2 linked regions of the Caenorhabditis elegans genome follow. The protein of the gene in region 2 purifies or fractionates together with the protein of the main gene of each other region. This does not show direct contact. Each region holds a gene or a part of one and is shown on either strand. Other genes may lie near its edges.

Region 1 (10,237 bases), on a different chromosome or scaffold from region 2:
AAAAAAATAATAAATATTTATTCTAGCAAAGTCTTTGAAAGGAGAAATCTGAGAAAATTGAGATCAATCTAATACTCGTCATTGTCAGGGGTTTGATGAAATGATGATGAATTGGTCACAACTTTTTTGAGGGAAAAAATGGCTATGAAACAACTAGATTAAGGTATGTGGCGGTGTATGGTTGTTGGATACAAGTGGTGTATTTTCCATATTCTTCCGTTGCGTTGGTCCATTGGAATTTCGAACCGGAGCATGTTTTACCTGAAAGTTTGAAATACACGAATGCCTCCCCTAGAATATTTTACTTACATGCTGAGCAACTTGATCCATTGAGAGCACTCCTCGTCTTTTCTTGGGCATCTTTGAACGAGCTTGTGTATGGGAATAGAACATGGCGAAGTTAGAGACGATGACCTTGAAATTAAAATTCAAAACTGGCAACATTAATTTGAATAATAAATGGAAAACATACTGGAACTGGCAAAGCGATTGTCAATACACCAGCGAGAGCACAAATCGAACCAATCAGGCGGCCCAGATATGTATGAGGTGTTATGTCACCATAGCCAATTGTTGTCATTGTGACGATCTGGAAATTGGAATTTTGTTCTGATGTTTCATTTTTACAAGGAAAGGTTTCATTTTACTTTCAGAATTTGTAACAAGAAATATTACGAGAATGTAAAATTCAGAGAATGCGTATTGCACAACATATTTGACGCGAAAAATATCTCGCAGCGAAAACTACAGTAAATCTTTAAATGTCTACTGTAACATGTTATTATAACACTGATGTCAATTTACAGGCTGCACTTTCGAAACGAATTTCTTTTCTAATTGTGACAACGATATTTAATTTTCCTCCTATTTTTCGTTGTTTTTTTACAATGTTTCATCAGAAAAAAAAAGTGAAAAACAATGCGACAGTAGTCATTTAAAGAACTACTGTAGTTTTCGGTGCGAGATATTCTGCGCGTCAAATATGTTGCGCAATACGCATCCTCAAAACGTAGTGTTCCCGTAATACGTTATTTCCAGACATTTAATTGTTTTTTAAAGAATGTTTAGAAGTGGGCACGCAGTACAGAAATTTTTTGGAAACTATAAAAAATAGTTTTGAAAAATTGAATCATTCATCCAACTCAAAAAATAAAAAAAAGGAGAAAGGTACTTTCAAAATATTGAGTTCAAAATTTAAAGGGCTTAACGTGAGTATAAATAGACATTCTCAACTTACCGCCCACCACAATCCAATCGGAATTGACACAAATTGATTATCTTCATTACTTTCCACCCGTTCTGCATAATACACCAGTGATGCAAATACAACAACTCCCAATACCAAAAAGAATACAAGTAGCATCAATTCCTTTGCTGATGCTCGGAAGGTGTGCATCAAAATCTTGAGTCCCGAATTATGATGAGTCAATTTGAAAAGTCTCATAATACGAATGATGGAGAAGAACTCAAGATCTGCAGTTGCTCCAAACATGCTTGATAATAAATCAATGTAGAATGTCAAAGTGGCAACAATGTCGATAATGTTCACAGGTGCACGAAGATATTCAAAACGAGATGGACATGAAGAGAATCTTGCCAGAATTTCAATCGTGAACCAAATGTTACATATTGTTTCTATGTACTGAAAAGTATAAGGAATATTAAATATTCAATCTTTCTGTATACTGTACCATAAAAGTTGGATGAGGCCTAGAATTGGCCTTATCAATGTTTATCTGTGCAGGATGTATTCGTGAAGATGTACTCCGATGATTCCGCGAAAAGTTTCCAAATGGAGCTAATTCAGGGATCCTCAAACCAGGATGGGTTTTCAGACAGAAAACAATGATGGCTGTTATCAGAAAAAATACAGAAATAGCTGCTATAAATTGTGCTGATCTAGATGAATTTGGTTCATCGAAAAGCCTCCAAATCCGAGGTTTGATCTTCTGCCAGGCACTGAGACTATCATTATGATAGTCATCCTCCCAACCAAATCGTTTGTACAGTTCCTGAAAATTTCGAGTTTTAATTTTGCCAATCGTGACTTTTTTAGACCAAGCCTATTGTCAAATTGGTAAAAAATAGAATTTTTCTGACTATCTGAGAGATATCTGGCACCAATATTTACTTCTATAATAGTTACTTTAAAATCTGAAGTATAGCGAGTTTGAAACCTCGAAAAATTTGAAGTATTCCTATTATAGTGTTTTTTTTTTGAAATTTTGAAGCTTCATTTTAAACTTTAAAATGAAGCTTCAAAATTTCAAAAAAAACTATAATAGGAACACTTCAAATTTAAAACTGTGCCTTTAAAATTTAAAGGCACGGTTTTTTTCTCGGTGGGTCTCGCCACGATCTCATTCGATTACTTTTTACTCCACAATGTGCAGACATAGCAACCAAATTCACGTTGTACTTAGTATGCCGGTTTTTTTTTGATTAGGAGTCGCAAAAACTTTTATATTGCTTTGTAAAATGAATCATAATGGATAAAAAATGTTCTAAAATTCTGCATTTTTCTCTTGTTATACAAAAAGCTTACAGGTCCTTCTGTTTGATCAACTTCAATATCCAACTCGTCTAATGTTTTGAGCACATCTTGTGTATCTCTTGTACCAGATAATGTCATCCAACAGCATGGTTCGCATTCATTTGAATCAAGTCCCCAATACTAAAAAATAATGTATTTTCTTATCTTTTAACAATTATCTTCTTACCTTTAACTCCTCTTCAAATAATGGTCCACACACGTCAAGAGGATAATGCAATTTGCCCGTTCTTAAACTCAAAAAAATTATCGAAAATGCGATTTGTGCCTTGTTACCTATAATAATTTAGTATTTGCGCAAAAACTCCGGGATGTCTATCGAAAAAATACTCGTTTAAAACTGGATCATAATTGGCCAAATTTGTAGTCAACCGGGATAGTCTGAATAAAAAAAATCATGCTAGAAAGAAATATGGAATAATTGTTACTTTACCGTGTAGCTGGAATTTTCTTAAGCGTATGCTTATAGGTTTCGTGTCGAACACCACCCACGTTGAGTATGATCCGGTATTCACTGTCCATGACAGTCTGTCTGTAATTATTAGAAAATTGTTTCTGTAAGCAAATGAAAAAAAAACAACGTTAACTGACTAGTGAGCAATGTATAATTGATGTTTTTTTGGATTTCAAAAACCAAGTTTTTCAGTCAGGCCTACTAGTTAACTTTTAAGCCTTTCACTAGACGTAATTCAGTATGTTGTATATCCTTCGAAGGACGCTTAATCTCAGCTAAATATACAGAAAGTGATATCAAACTTAGAAAGCTGTTGTTGAGAAAGCAAGACGTACATAAAAATGCACATAAGCCCGAACATAATGACGGAAAACATATCACTTTGGAGTCGACTACGGTAGGAGGAGGGGGATGTTCACAAAAGTTATCCGTAATGCATCTAAATCGTAAATTTGTAAGTTTGTTTCTGGTGGCTCAAGAGATCTGGCACAAAAGCAGCATCTGGAGCGTGATGAATTGTTGTGTTGAGACCGGATAATAACAATCATAAAAGCGTGCCACCAGAGCAGAGAATGAAGGGCCAGAGGAGCAGTCTTATTTTTTGCCGCAGCCGACGCCACACAACCAACACCACCCCAGTTGGAGCCATATCTCCTATGTCTCTCCCGTCCCACCCTTCTTGCTTCCATTGTTCCCGCTCTTGTATGTTTGTGGTCCCTTCCGCTTCCTCATTAAAATTTGATCACATACGCCAAAATGAGAGACAAGACGAAAGGAGAGGCGTCGTGAGATGTATAGTTACAGATAGTTGTTAAGATTGGGAGGCTCGGTACTCGTGAAAAAGTTCCGAAAATTTTGAATTGATATGGGTAAAATAAGTTTTCTGCATTTTTCTAGTATCACTACAAAGGTTTTGAGGAAATTCTTCTAGGTAAATCCACAAAACTGCTAATTTCAGTGTGCATATCATTTTAGAGCAAAAATTTATTTTTAAATGTAGAAAAACATCTATTCGATTTGAAAAAAAAGAAGTTTGAAGTTAACCTATAATATCAAAAATATCCACAGTTAGTTTAGAAAGTAAGTTGTACGGATACTTATTGCGAGGCAGATTCCCAAGTTTACAATTTCAACAATAAACTTTCGACAATAAAACAAAAATAAATTTATTTTAGTTCTTTTGGAGGTCACGTTTTAAAAACAATTTTTTTTAAACCTACAGATTTATTTTAATAAAAATGCTCTATTAGAAAACGATTCAAATTTAAGAAAATGATTTTCATGGATAAATATTTGTTTACATTATACTCTTATAAACTCACATAACAACTCAAAACATATTTTTTGGTCGATCTTGATTATGAACATTTTTTGAGTAAGCTATTTTTCTTCGGATAATGTATAATTTTATAATTTCCTACGTCACTATTTCTATAGATTTTTGAATATGACTCCATGTGGTTCTTTGTATTTTTTCGCTCTGATCAGCTATATTTATTAAATTCTATTTTTTATTACAAAATACACCGTAAAATTGTATCAACCAGATAGAGGTGTTCAATGTTTTTGCCGGATTGTTTTTCACATTCCAAAAATACAATTAACTTCCGAAATCAGAAAACTACAATTGTACGCCTTTTGGTCTGGAAACGATTGCATTATCATTACTAAACATTTTGGCAAGAAAAAACGAAACGTTGAACTTATAAACCCCACACCCAAATACCACAAAGAAAGTCCAAATAGTCTCAAAACACGAAAAGCAAGTACCTATTGAAATTTTGATTCAAAGCAAGCAAAGCGAGAGGGAAATGTGACCGAAAATATTTCAAATCCACATTTTTCCCCAGCAACAGCCAGCTAATTCACTTTTTGTTGACTTTTCTAGCAAAAGAACTCGGTCACCTAGAAACAGTTGGACAGAAAAAGCGAACATCAACAAATTATTTTTTTGAATTGTCAAAAGTGTTGCGATGGCGGTGAAAATAGACATTCCAACAAGTGGATGATGAGCCGATCCTCTGCAGAGCAAAAAGAGAGATGAGACGAAATAAAGAGAGATTATCGTTCACGGGTAATTTGATATGTTTTGTCACATACTCTAGATTGCAGGACAACGAAATAGAGAGTAGGAAGAGGACTTCGAGAAAGGAGGAAAAAGAACAAGAAGTAGTAGTAGAAGAAGAAGGTGGTACATGGATCATGATGAGACACACAGGACACGGACAGAGAAGACTCGGCTTAATGTACGTAATTATCGATGGTGCCAACTGAAGAAAAAGGAAAAGAGTTACTTCTTGTTAGACAATTAGATGCTTGAGTTATCTTGAAAAATTTTTTGTTCATTTATATATTTTTTAGATTTCGTATCGTTTCAGGCTATTTTGATTATAATCAGTTATTCCTAATGTAAGAAAATACTCCGTTTTTTTTTGAAATTTAGCTGTGTAGCTGTTCTTCGATTTGTTTTACTCTAATTTTGGAAGAACTGGCAACTTTTTCCAACAATGCGGTTTTTTTTGAGTGATTTTAAGAATTGCTGCAGGTTTGAATGTTCTAGAATGTTCAAATACAAAAATTGAAACGCATTTAAAATTTTGAAACCAATTTTGAGTTATCTCCACTTTTTGACTGAGATTTATAACAATTTAACAAAATTTTTGCAAAATTGATTTGCAAAGTTTGAATTTTTAGGACTATACGAGCGGTTTCAAATCATTTCCCTACTCTCAATACTCCATCTTCAAATAAGAAGTTCAGATTAAAATTATATTTCTGTCCAAAGAAGTGCCTTTCTAGATTTAGTTCCAATTTTCGAGAATATTTGTGACTTGGGGTAAACAAATGATTTTTGTTGAGCAAGATTGTAACTGGTGCTGTGGCTCATATGGAGATATCATCAGAAAATACAATTTGGGTGGCCGCATTGGAGTGTGAAAAAAGGAAAAAGAGAGGAAGAGAAATAGAGAGACAGAGAGGGAGAGAATAGTGGAAAAACCGAATCATGAAGAATTTGTATGAAAAGTGAGAAGGTCAGCAGCAAATTGAGAATCTGACACTACTAGATTAGACGAAAAAGCAAAACATAGGAAATAACGTGCAGTAAGAACGAAAATTAGAATCTGAAGAAGCATTTTTTATAAGAACCTAATAGTAAGATTTTCAAGATCTCGAAGATTTTCAAGCGATACTTCCGGGCGAAAAAAGAAAATACTTGTGAGCAAATATTTATATTCATGGCTACATTTAGAATCTCTCCTAGATTCACCTCCACCCTCACTAGTCTTCCATCCCATTAATTGCTGCTCATCAAAGGACACGGAAATGTACTTTGTCACTTCTCTTTTGGAAGGTGTCGACTGAAAAAAAAAGAATGCGCATGACGAGAGTGCGGGAAAGAAAGAATAAAGGAAATGAAGGAGATGTGGGCCACCGAGGAAAGGAAGCAGTTGGTGCAAAAATGAGTGGACACACCGGATTATTACCCTTTTATTATTATTGTTATTCCAGATATTTTTGAAGAAAATGGTTTATTACTTTTGTCAGGGTAGAAGCTAAGAAAAATAAGATTTACGCGAGCAAGTTGTTAGAAAGCATCGGGGTTAAAAATCCAGCTGTAAAAAATGTTTTGAAGTTTAGATTTTAAATAGTCCAAGTTTAAGAGGTTCTTATAAAACTTTTAGAAAAATAACTGTAATTTATAACACCTTGTAAAACTATGTACCGTGTTTTCTATATTAGTATTGCAGCCCTAGGAGCAAATCGAAAGTTAGTGTTGCGCCCTCTAATACACTGACTTGTTGTAAGATCAGCCGTATTTTGCAGAAATCTTGGTAAAATTTATGAGTTTTCAGATAACGATAAACCGGTTCAGATAACTCATCGTGGGAAATAATGGTTAAAAAAATCCAAAGTATTATTTACAGTGACACATTATAATAAAAAATTATGAATTTTAAAATTGTTAAGCAAAATTCACTCAACTAGCTCACAACACTACAAACACAATTACGAACACGGCATGCAAGTTTTTAAGCCGAAAATCTAGAGTTCACAATTTTTGAATGCTGTCGCCCATTTTAGACTCACAATGATTGGCAAAAAAAGGACAATGAGCTTTGTAACCTGCCCTTTTCTCAATTTAATTTTTATTCTCTCATCTTCTTTTTTTGCAGAGAGAGAGAGAGCATCAGTATATCTAATTCATTTTCACTTTTTTTCCACTGCTCCCATTCATTTTGCAAATTGCTTTTTCATTTTTTGTTGAAATTTCTTCCTGTTTGAAACACTTACCCAAATGCGGTCGACGGACTTGTTCCATTATTGTTCCGTCGTCGAATTGACATTGACGGGGGGACGATCCAAAAATACTAAATCAAGAAGAAATGAAAAAGAGCAGAAATTGAAACGAAGAATATTTCGATCAAGAATGAAAAATTGAAGTTGTGAGACATGAAAATCAACGAAAAAACTAGGAAAAGGTGTCCTGGCAACAATTCGGAAAGAGGCCTCCGGCGACGGCAATAAATGAGAAAGCAACAAACAAGGCTTTTCAAAAAAAGTTTCTTTCTTGTGTCACCCCATTTTCTGACAAAATAACTGGGAGATTTTTTTTTAAAGGAAATGCAAAATGCAAAATATTTGTTCAAAGTTGAATCTGTCATTCGGCATTTTGCAAAATGTGTTCAAGCTATAATTTTTGTAAAATGGAAAAATTGAACGTCTGAGTTTCGATAATTGTTTTAGTGGTCAGATGCTGTTTCACAGGATATCAATTTCAGTGTCTCAGAACACTTTTGCTATTAAAAGTTGATATATTTTGAGGAAAATTCCCGGAAACGGGGGAAATGTTTTACCAGGCAAGTTTTAGGTTTATTGAAAAAGCAAGTTAGAATTTTAACCTACAGAGAACAATTTTTTAGTAACATCTTCACTTCTAATTTTATAATCTTTTACCGTATATCTTCTATTAGTTTGGCCTCCCTATTAGACTGGCACTCCCTATTAGTATTGCCCTTCAAAGACCTTCCGAAAATTAGTATTGCATTCCCTATTAGTGTTGCACTCCCTAATAGTCTTGCACCTACTTTTTTTTGGTGCAAACCCTCCTTACTAATTTTAAGATTTTAATAACATTTTTTGAATATTTTGCAACAATTTATAAGAAAATTTTTATGAGATTGAAGTTATTGTACCTTTTTGTTGCAATTTCAATCAAATTTTCTATATTTCCAAATTAAAGTTGGAGTTTTTTCAAGTAAATACTAGTAAGCCCCAACACAGAAAAATGTTCTGAAAAATAGTATTTCACTCCCTATTAGTCTTGCACTCCCTAATAGTATTGCAAGCGGGAAGACCTTCGAAAAATAGTATTGCAGCCATATTAATAGAAGAAATACGGTAAATTTTTAAACTTTGGAAACGAACGAGAAAACGTCGAAACTTTTAGCTTGAGGTTATCATTTTCAGTCGAGGTTTTGAAGAATACTAATTTTTTGTTAAATTTATTTCTATAGACAAAAATAATAAAAAAATATTGCTTAATTTCCCAAAACGAAAGTTCAATTTAATGCAAAATCAAAAACAAGCTTGAACATAGCGATACATTTTAATAATCAGCTAATAAAATTTTTATTTTGGAAGTGACTGCGAATAACAAAAGTGCAAGAGAGTGTTGAATATGTATATATCATATTAATTTGTCAACTAGTCTCAAAAAATATCTTATTATCAAAATTATGACGTTTTTATGACAGCAAAGTACGTGGGAAACTTTAAAACTAGAAAGCAAGCACCTAAAAATATATGTGAATTAAAATGAACAGTGATCTTAAAGCGGAAAAAGAGAAAACCGAGAACTGAGATATATCTAATGAATCGAGTAAAATGTATAATTTGGGTGGGTTTCAGTTGACAAATTCTTAGATGAGAAGGATGTATCAGTGCTTTCACCAAAAAAAGAATGAAAGAAGAGGAGGAGCAAGCGGTGGAGATATGTGTGCGAATGTGAATGTGAATAAATTTGATTAATTGGCACGAGAAAGTCAGCTATTCGGTCGCCATCGTCGCAAGCACTTCAGATCAAAACGGACACGGAGAAGAGCTGGAAGTGACAAGCACTTTTGGAAATGTACTTTTCTGTTTCTTTACTTTTATTTTCTTCATTGAGAGTTTCGAAAAGCTGGAGACATAGAAAACAGTAAATTGATTGATATACAGGTATGCAATTGTTTTACAGGATTCGTCTTTATTTATAGTTGATTGTTAGTTGGCAAATGATTAGTTCAAGAAAGTTAACAATTTTTGTTTCTGAAATTATTTTATAGCATCAGCTTAAAGTTCAACTTATCACTCAACAATTTCATAGACCTACTGGAATCTGAAAAACGTTTTTTAATTACCAAAGTGGTATACACTAAAACTGTAATTTTTTGAAATTTTCAAAAATAATTTCGACAAAAAGATTTGTAAACTAAACTTCAAAAATGATCGTCAAATTTATTTTCATTTTTTTCGGGATGTTTTGAGTGGCATTTAGAAAATGACGCTGAAGCAAAATATTTGACAAATTTCGAAAATAATCCATGTTTTTTTTTCCAGAGAAACTAAACTGCATAAAAGCTTTACTATGAAAAATATAGGCAGTTATATAATTTAGACTTCTCAATATGATTTAAAGTGAGAAACTACATTCTGAAATTTGGAATTTTTGGAAATATAGAAATGAACAGGTATTATTTAAAAAACTAAGCTTTTTCAAAAAAATTTGTGTTACTTTTTCGTGAAATTTAGTTTGCAACACAAGTTAGTTTAATTTTGCAAAAAAAAAAGAAAAAAGAAAGCAAATTTTTTGTTTGAAGTGAGATGAGGAAAAGAAGCATGTAGAAATTAATTTCAAATATTGCTCTTGTCCGCCTTTGGCCTCTAATTTTCAACGCCAGACTATATTTTCAGTATTTTTTTTCCTTGAGCCGTTCTTTTTTCAGAGGTTCCCCATACTGACCCGAATACTAATCTTGTTTTTTTTCATTCTTTTTTCCAGCACTTTTCAGCTGTTTGGATATGATGAAAATTTGATGGTGATGAAGCAAAAACAGAAGAAACAGGAAAACGAGTTTTCTAAAAATCTCGTAGGGAAATAATTTGATAAAAGAAAGTTATACAACTGACAAAGGGAAAAACAAAAGAGAAATATATATATAAATGAGGTTATAGAGTTATCTCACGAGGTT
Region 2 (6,722 bases):
ATCGAATTGTTTGTAAAAATGAAACAGATCTCAATCAAAAATCAATATTTCGATTATTATTTCTTGATTTTATTTGCTTCTTCAGCCAGTGTGAACCATTGAAGCAACGACCCAAGGGAATGATCTCTTGGAAGTTCGATTTTTCCTTTATTAACATTCACGACAGATTGACTAGACTTTTCCGGGAGAGGCAATGGAGTTGGAACAAGAACATCATCACTTAGTTCATTGCTATTTGTTTGTTTCTCAGAAACTTCTACAACAGGCTCCATAACCCATTCTTGAAGTAAATCACATCTTCCTTCTCGTTTCGGATATTTTCTGTAGAATGCATCCGCAAATTTCTTCGGAGCAACATCTTCCACTCTTAATCCATGAAAACACTGAAATATTTCCTTATTTTTTGGCAATTGGACAAGTACACATACATTATCAATACATGGCAATTCTGCAACATCTCGAAACATTTTCCCGGCTGCATAACTCATTGAAATGAGAATAGCTTCAAGTTCAGCACACAAGTAAGCTCTCCTCTCATCAGTCACTTGTCGTTTCGAATTTTTCACAAGATTATAGTCCGGTTCATGAGGCAACGCAAATAGTCGTTGACGCAAAGATTCGGTTCGTTGACTAGTGTTTTCATCTGAAAATAACAAGATTCTAGATGATGTTCGATTATAAAAATAGAAATAATTTCTTACATGTGAATAGTTCGGGAGCATGTCGATAAAACCGATCTGATTGATATTCGACGAAATCGAGTGTTAGCGGTCGGAATTTTACATCGACTGTTCGGTTTCTGATGACGTGGTGGAAGTCACTAAAACCAGTGTAATATTAAATTTGAATTTAATGCATAGCTTTAAAAAAGCCGAAAAAGTCCTAGTCTAGTTTACAATATGATAGGAATGTTACCTGTAACACGGTTGATTGAGAATATCTTTGAACTTGTCTCCACTGACAATTGTACCTCCATGTCTGGCTGCATACGAAACCACATACAAATCATCATAATTGATAAACGCCCTGAAAAACACGTGACTTGCCCACATTGACTTCATTCCGACTCTGACTCACTTTCGTAGTCCCCGACCACTTCTAGCCGGCGTGAATGTCACAATACCAAGTTGCTCCAATTTCTGAGAAAATCAAAAATCAGAATCCAAAAAGCCTAGAGAACAAAGATTATCTTACTGCAAGTAGTTCCGCATTTTTCGAGTTATAATTATTAACATTGTTGTAAACAACAGGCAGGAAAACAGTCACCTGAAATTTGTAATTGGGAAATTAAAGAAAACTAAAAAATTATTACGTCAAATCTACGAATAAGAAGCCATCGGACAACGGAGACGAGGCCAGCACAATCCACGTGACTGAAAAAAATACAGAAATTTGTGCGTATTATTTTTTGTAATTCATTAAAAGAACAGAGCCACGACTTAATTTCCCACGTGTCCACGGAATCTCTACCATCTACCAGACATCTACCAAGGGCATGCTTTTATTCATTTCTGGCACAATTTGCATAAATATTTGCCAATTTCTGAACCAAACTGCTGTTTTTAGATCAAACTTATGACATAAGTTGGCGTCAAAAACCAAGGTGGGGCATTAAGATTGCTTGCTCAAAAGAGCTTGCTCAAAATCATCGAAATTTTAATGAGTGGACTGAAAACAAGCAATTTTCAACAATATCAGAAGTTTGTAATGATTGGAAGCATTGAATTGAGAAAATATTCTGGACAACCCACGTTCTAGCATATCCAGAGGCACTTCTTCCAATGTTGCATCCATCAATGACAAGCGGTCTCGATATTGCCTCTTGAGTCGGTGGTTTGAAATAAGCATTTTCTTTATCGGTTTCTAAAATACTTCATTTCTCTTTTTTTCAATTTTAACCAGAAAAAAAGAATTACTGTTAGTCATCATCCAATGTACATAAGCAGTGTAAATATACGACAAGTTGATTGAAAATCGAATCGATTTGACGATCACAGGACAAAATAATGAAGATGGTGAAGATAAATAAGTAATGCATATAAAAATGAGAACAAAATTACACGTCTAAGCTAAATGATTTATCGTCACAATCAACACGAGGAGTTCTCGATGACGTGGAGGCGTTTGTGTCAAGCGAATATGTTCGAGGATTTGATTTTATTGAATTCATATTTGGTTCAATCAATGAATTCATTGATGAAGATGACGAAGATGACATGGGAATTGCTGTTGAAGAGGAAATTGATGGCTTACGGCTGAAATATATTATTCTTTGAGGTTTCGTTTGAATTTGCTGAAATATGTTTTGTTATTGTATGAAATGTTTCATTTTTAAGTTTCATCTATTAGAACGCCGGTGTGGTCAAATTCAATACGATTGTGTTGTTATTTTGCATTTATAAATAAGACTTTCGACATTTTTCATAAACGTTTCACCGCTAGAATATTATAAAAACCACCAAAAAGCCATTTTTTAGTAGTGTCTCATATTTGGCTACTAATCTGTTTTCATCTTTTCTCACCTATCGGGCTCTATTAAATCCGGTGACGCAATTCCAAAATCGTAAATCATTGAGATTGCAGGAGTATGTGGACGATTTGGAAAATCAGAATGTATGCAGTCGTCAGCACTTACTACAATCTCCGGAATGTCTGATGTGACTGTTGATATGCTGTAATTATAATTATTCATTAAAGGTTATATAAAAGCAAATAGAAAACCATTTCTGTTAATTCTTTAGTTTCCCTGATTATAACTTCTCTAAAAAATTCTGCTAATTACCTGTAATGTCCTCTTGGTCTTGTTCCATTTGGAAGTGGCTTCCATTCGCTATCTTTTCGCTTTTCTGGTCCTTTCTCTTTGTTTTTGTTCACGAGCCATGCAGTCACCTACAACTTTGAATTAATTTTTTTTCGATGTATTTTCATAAATATACCTGGGTTTTTGCTCTCATCAATCGTCTTCTTTTACGTTCCTGTATTTCTAATTCTTCTCGAATTCGCATAGCATCAAGGAGCGAATCCATCTGAAATATAGAGAACTTCATGTAGCTTAATACTGAAGTTATTAGCATTTTTTCAAAATTTCTACATTTATTAAAATTTTGTAACAAAACTTCTGATTTGACCGGGTTTTTGTTTTCAAACAACATACAAAAACCTACGGTCCTCTCTAATTTCATACAATTTCATACAGTTCGATTGTCTACTGTGAAATTCCAAACGTACCTCAACTGTTGATTGTGTTCTCCGAATTGATCGTACCATTAGGAGAATAATGACAAATGAGAACATTATTAAAATTGATATTGTATAAAGTATTCGACCGAACTCATTTTCGTACTCTCTCATTCGGATTGCAGCCTTGTCAAGTACTCTGAAAATTGCCACTTTTCATTAAGAGATTTTCATACCAAAGTTTGACTTTTTGTTTGTCTTTTTTCCCCGATTAATTGTCACAAAATATCAAAACTCACTGGGGATCACAAGCATTTTTCAAAGTGATGCATGCTTCTCGAATGCCTTCTTGGCACGTGGGACTGATATTTTTGTGCATGGAAAGATTAGAGTACTGTCAGTCAGAGTTAATAACGCCAAAAACTAATCAATTAAAACGATCAGACAGAAAGTGAAACAAATGATTAGGTCAAATGAACTTTCAGAAATATGATGAGTTGTAGTAGGTGTCACACACTAATCGATGAGAAGAAGACGACGTGGTGCACAAACGAGCCCTGGCGCCACTGCTCTCGAAGACTGCTTTCCTCCCTTGATTTTCATGCATTTCCATAGCAGCACATATTTGTGTGCGCAGATTCTGGAAGAGACGCAGACATACTCACATGTTTTTTATTATCATCGGAGAGGACATTGAATGGAAGTATAGAGTATGGAGAAAGAAGGGATTAAAGTGTTTGTGTTTGATGTATACCAAAATAAAAACTGTCGCCATCGGAAATTGCCAAAAGTTGGCTTTTACTGAGAGACTCATTTACTAATGTACTTTTCACTAGTGTGTGACAAAGTCAAAATTTGAACCGAGATCCACTTCAAGAGCCACTTAAAGAGTTCAAGACCAGTTCAAACCAGTAATGACTTTATTCACACTTTCCTGATTTGGAGAATAACGAAAAAACATCAAACTCGAAACCATTACCTACACTGTTCTACTATTTGTTCTTACATATATTCATATGTAATCACCCATCAAGTCATAGCTCTTTTTAGTGAAATGATACACCAAAAAACTATCAACTGAATAAATATTTGTATTTATATGATGTTCATTTGGTTGACTCTGCTCTACCAGAAATTATCAAAGTTTCGAAAAGAAGGGAAACTAATCAACTGATTCAGATAACTACTGGGTGGTCCATAATTATGGCGACCACTTTACGGAACTGTAACTTTTTCTTGGACAGCGATCAAAACAAGTTAATATATACATTTTATTGAATAGAAAAAATCGAACATAATGACATATAAAACTTAACATTTACCTACAGCCGCACAGACCTCAAGAAACTCAAAAACCCAGTCGACCGTGGCGCGCAAGTAGGCTCAATTTAGCTTAATTGAGATTTTTAAATGAGATTTATCCAATGATTTATTTTCATTATTATATAATAAAAGTATCCTTGTTTCTAAAAAACATTTCATGAAAATTTTTTTGTGATTGGTTACCGGTGACGGAAGTGACATTTGGTGAAAATTTATAAAGTCAAAAAAGTAAGCTCCCCCAAATTTTGTGATTTTTCTTCCTTGCCAGCCAACGATCCTTTATGCTTAAGTTGACAATGTATCCATTTTAAATTTTTAAAACTTAAAATGGCAATTTGGTTTTCAATATCTTGATATATTCCACAGAATTCACTGTAACCCAATTGGAAGCGAAAAAAAGTGATCTCAACCGCGGTGTTTGTGTAGTTTTTGGACATTTTTTTCGGATCTTTCTATAGCCCCCATCATGCCACACAAAATGCGTGTGTGGCATGATGGGGGTTATAGAAAGAAGGCAGAAAGCCTATCAGGCAGTTGACAGGCACGCGAATGTGCGAAAAATTGAAAGGAAGGAAAGCGAATTAAGCAGTTGGTAAAGCATGAATTTGCTATGTTTCTAGTTCTGAAATATACGTTTCTTTGATAATGTTTCGTATCGGGCGCTCGTTGCTCTAGAGTCACTATCTAACTGTTCAAAGTTGATGTTTAACACTTCAAATTCAAACTAGACCAATGCCCGATTTAAAATGAATACAATGTTTCAGGTTAACGTGTTGAATCCCTGTTGGATAGATGGAAAATTATTGAGAAACTGTTTGGGTCATCGCTTCTTACACTCACACTCTCAACAACTGTTATGAACGACCAAAAAGCAAAGCAAAGTCAGATGACGTTGAAACAGACATAGAGAGTATTTGTAGCAGATTGAATATGGTAGAAATTGTTAAAAACAGACGGTGCATTCATATTTATTTCGAAAAAAAAAATAAAAAAAAATTTCATATTCGACAGAAACTGATATTAGTGATGTTACGAAGCACCAATTTCAAATTACATTTCTCTATAAAACAGAACTCCCATCCAGTCTCAATAATTCCAATTATTATCATAAAACATTTCCTTTTAAGTCATTAACCGACGGCGAGTACATCTCGCCTGAAATTTAATCTGAACATACATTACCAAAAACGACTCAGTTAAAGACTTTGACATTTCCGTAAACAACAAGCTGCATTTCCAAAAGTATATCGGTTATGTGTCAAACTCAGTTCTGCTCAAGTGTAGGCAGTTTCTCCGATTTTTTGATCAACACTCTGTTGAGATTCTACAGAAACGTTTTCCATCTTTCTTTGACCAAAAGTACAAAATTACTCCATCGAAACCAGCCATAGCATTTTTGGGTACCTTCGATTGAGCAGCCACATTCGACGAAGCACCTGGAAAACATTTTGATCGGAGAGTACCCAAAGTTCCAGTTATATAAACTAACCGCTCTGCCACTGACCATCCCACTGACCATCCCACTGACCATCCCACTGACCATGCCACTGACCATCCCACTGACTAATTCTAATTTATGAAAAAAATACATTTTCAAAATAGAGACGAATAAAATTTTAAAAATTTTATTGGTGTCTCTATTTTATCAAGCAAATATATTTTCAAAATAGAGACGAATAAAAATTTAATTTTTATTAGTGTCTCTATTTCATCAAGAAAATATATTTTCAAAATAGAGACGAATAAAAATTTAAAATTTTTATTAGTGTCTCTATTTTATAAAGAAAATACATTTTCACAATAGAGACGAATAAAAATTTAATTTTTATTGGTGTCTCTATTTTATAAAGAAAATACATTTTCAAAATAGAGACGAATAAAAATTTAAAATTTTTATTAGTGTCTCTAATTTATGAAAAAAATACATTTTCAAAATAGAGACGAATAAAAATTTAAAATTTTTATTAGTGTCTCTATTTTATAAAGAAAATACATTTTCACAATAGAGACGAATAAAAATTTAATTTTTATTGGTGTCTCTATTTTATAAAGAAAATACATTTTCAAAATAGAGACAAATAAAAATTTAAAATTTTTATTAGTGTCTCTATTTTATAAAGAGAATATATTTTTATTTCAAACTACCTTTATTGGACTTTGTCCATCCTCGACTTGCTCGTGTCCTCTGCATACCATCCAATTGTATCAGCTTCATCCAATGC

What was found.
Region 1: the proteins of mps-1 (region 2) and shw-3 purify together in Caenorhabditis elegans (affinity purification with western blotting, with the first as the bait; one study listed by BioGRID). This does not show direct contact.

The regions. Positions count from the first base shown.
Region 1 is NC_003283.11:12,973,259-12,983,495, forward strand, and holds shw-3 (BTB domain-containing protein), read right to left. Parts: upstream 7,352-10,237; coding exon 7,299-7,351; intron 3,084-7,298; coding exon 2,985-3,083; intron 2,933-2,984; coding exon 2,828-2,932; intron 2,782-2,827; coding exon 2,721-2,781; intron 2,675-2,720; coding exon 2,546-2,674; intron 2,475-2,545; exon of another isoform or gene 2,325-2,474; intron 2,013-2,324; coding exon 1,692-2,012; intron 1,643-1,691; coding exon 1,238-1,642; intron 1,052-1,237; exon of another isoform or gene 902-1,051; intron 590-901; coding exon 473-589; intron 415-472; coding exon 310-414; intron 262-309; coding exon 154-261; downstream 1-153.
Region 2 is NC_003280.10:6,290,596-6,297,317, forward strand, and holds mps-1 (MiRP K channel accessory Subunit), read right to left. Parts: upstream 3,767-6,722; 5' UTR 3,557-3,766; coding exon 3,477-3,556; intron 3,377-3,476; coding exon 3,229-3,376; intron 3,027-3,228; coding exon 2,937-3,026; intron 2,890-2,936; coding exon 2,783-2,889; intron 2,673-2,782; coding exon 2,523-2,672; intron 2,256-2,522; coding exon 2,057-2,255; 3' UTR 1,930-2,056; coding exon of another isoform or gene 1,917-1,929; 3' UTR 1,864-1,916; downstream 1-1,863. Other genes in the region: nyn-3 (RNase NYN domain-containing protein), read right to left, coding at 57-383, 429-643, 702-820, 916-1,026, 1,078-1,139, 1,195-1,266, 1,313-1,373, 1,752-1,863 and 1 more.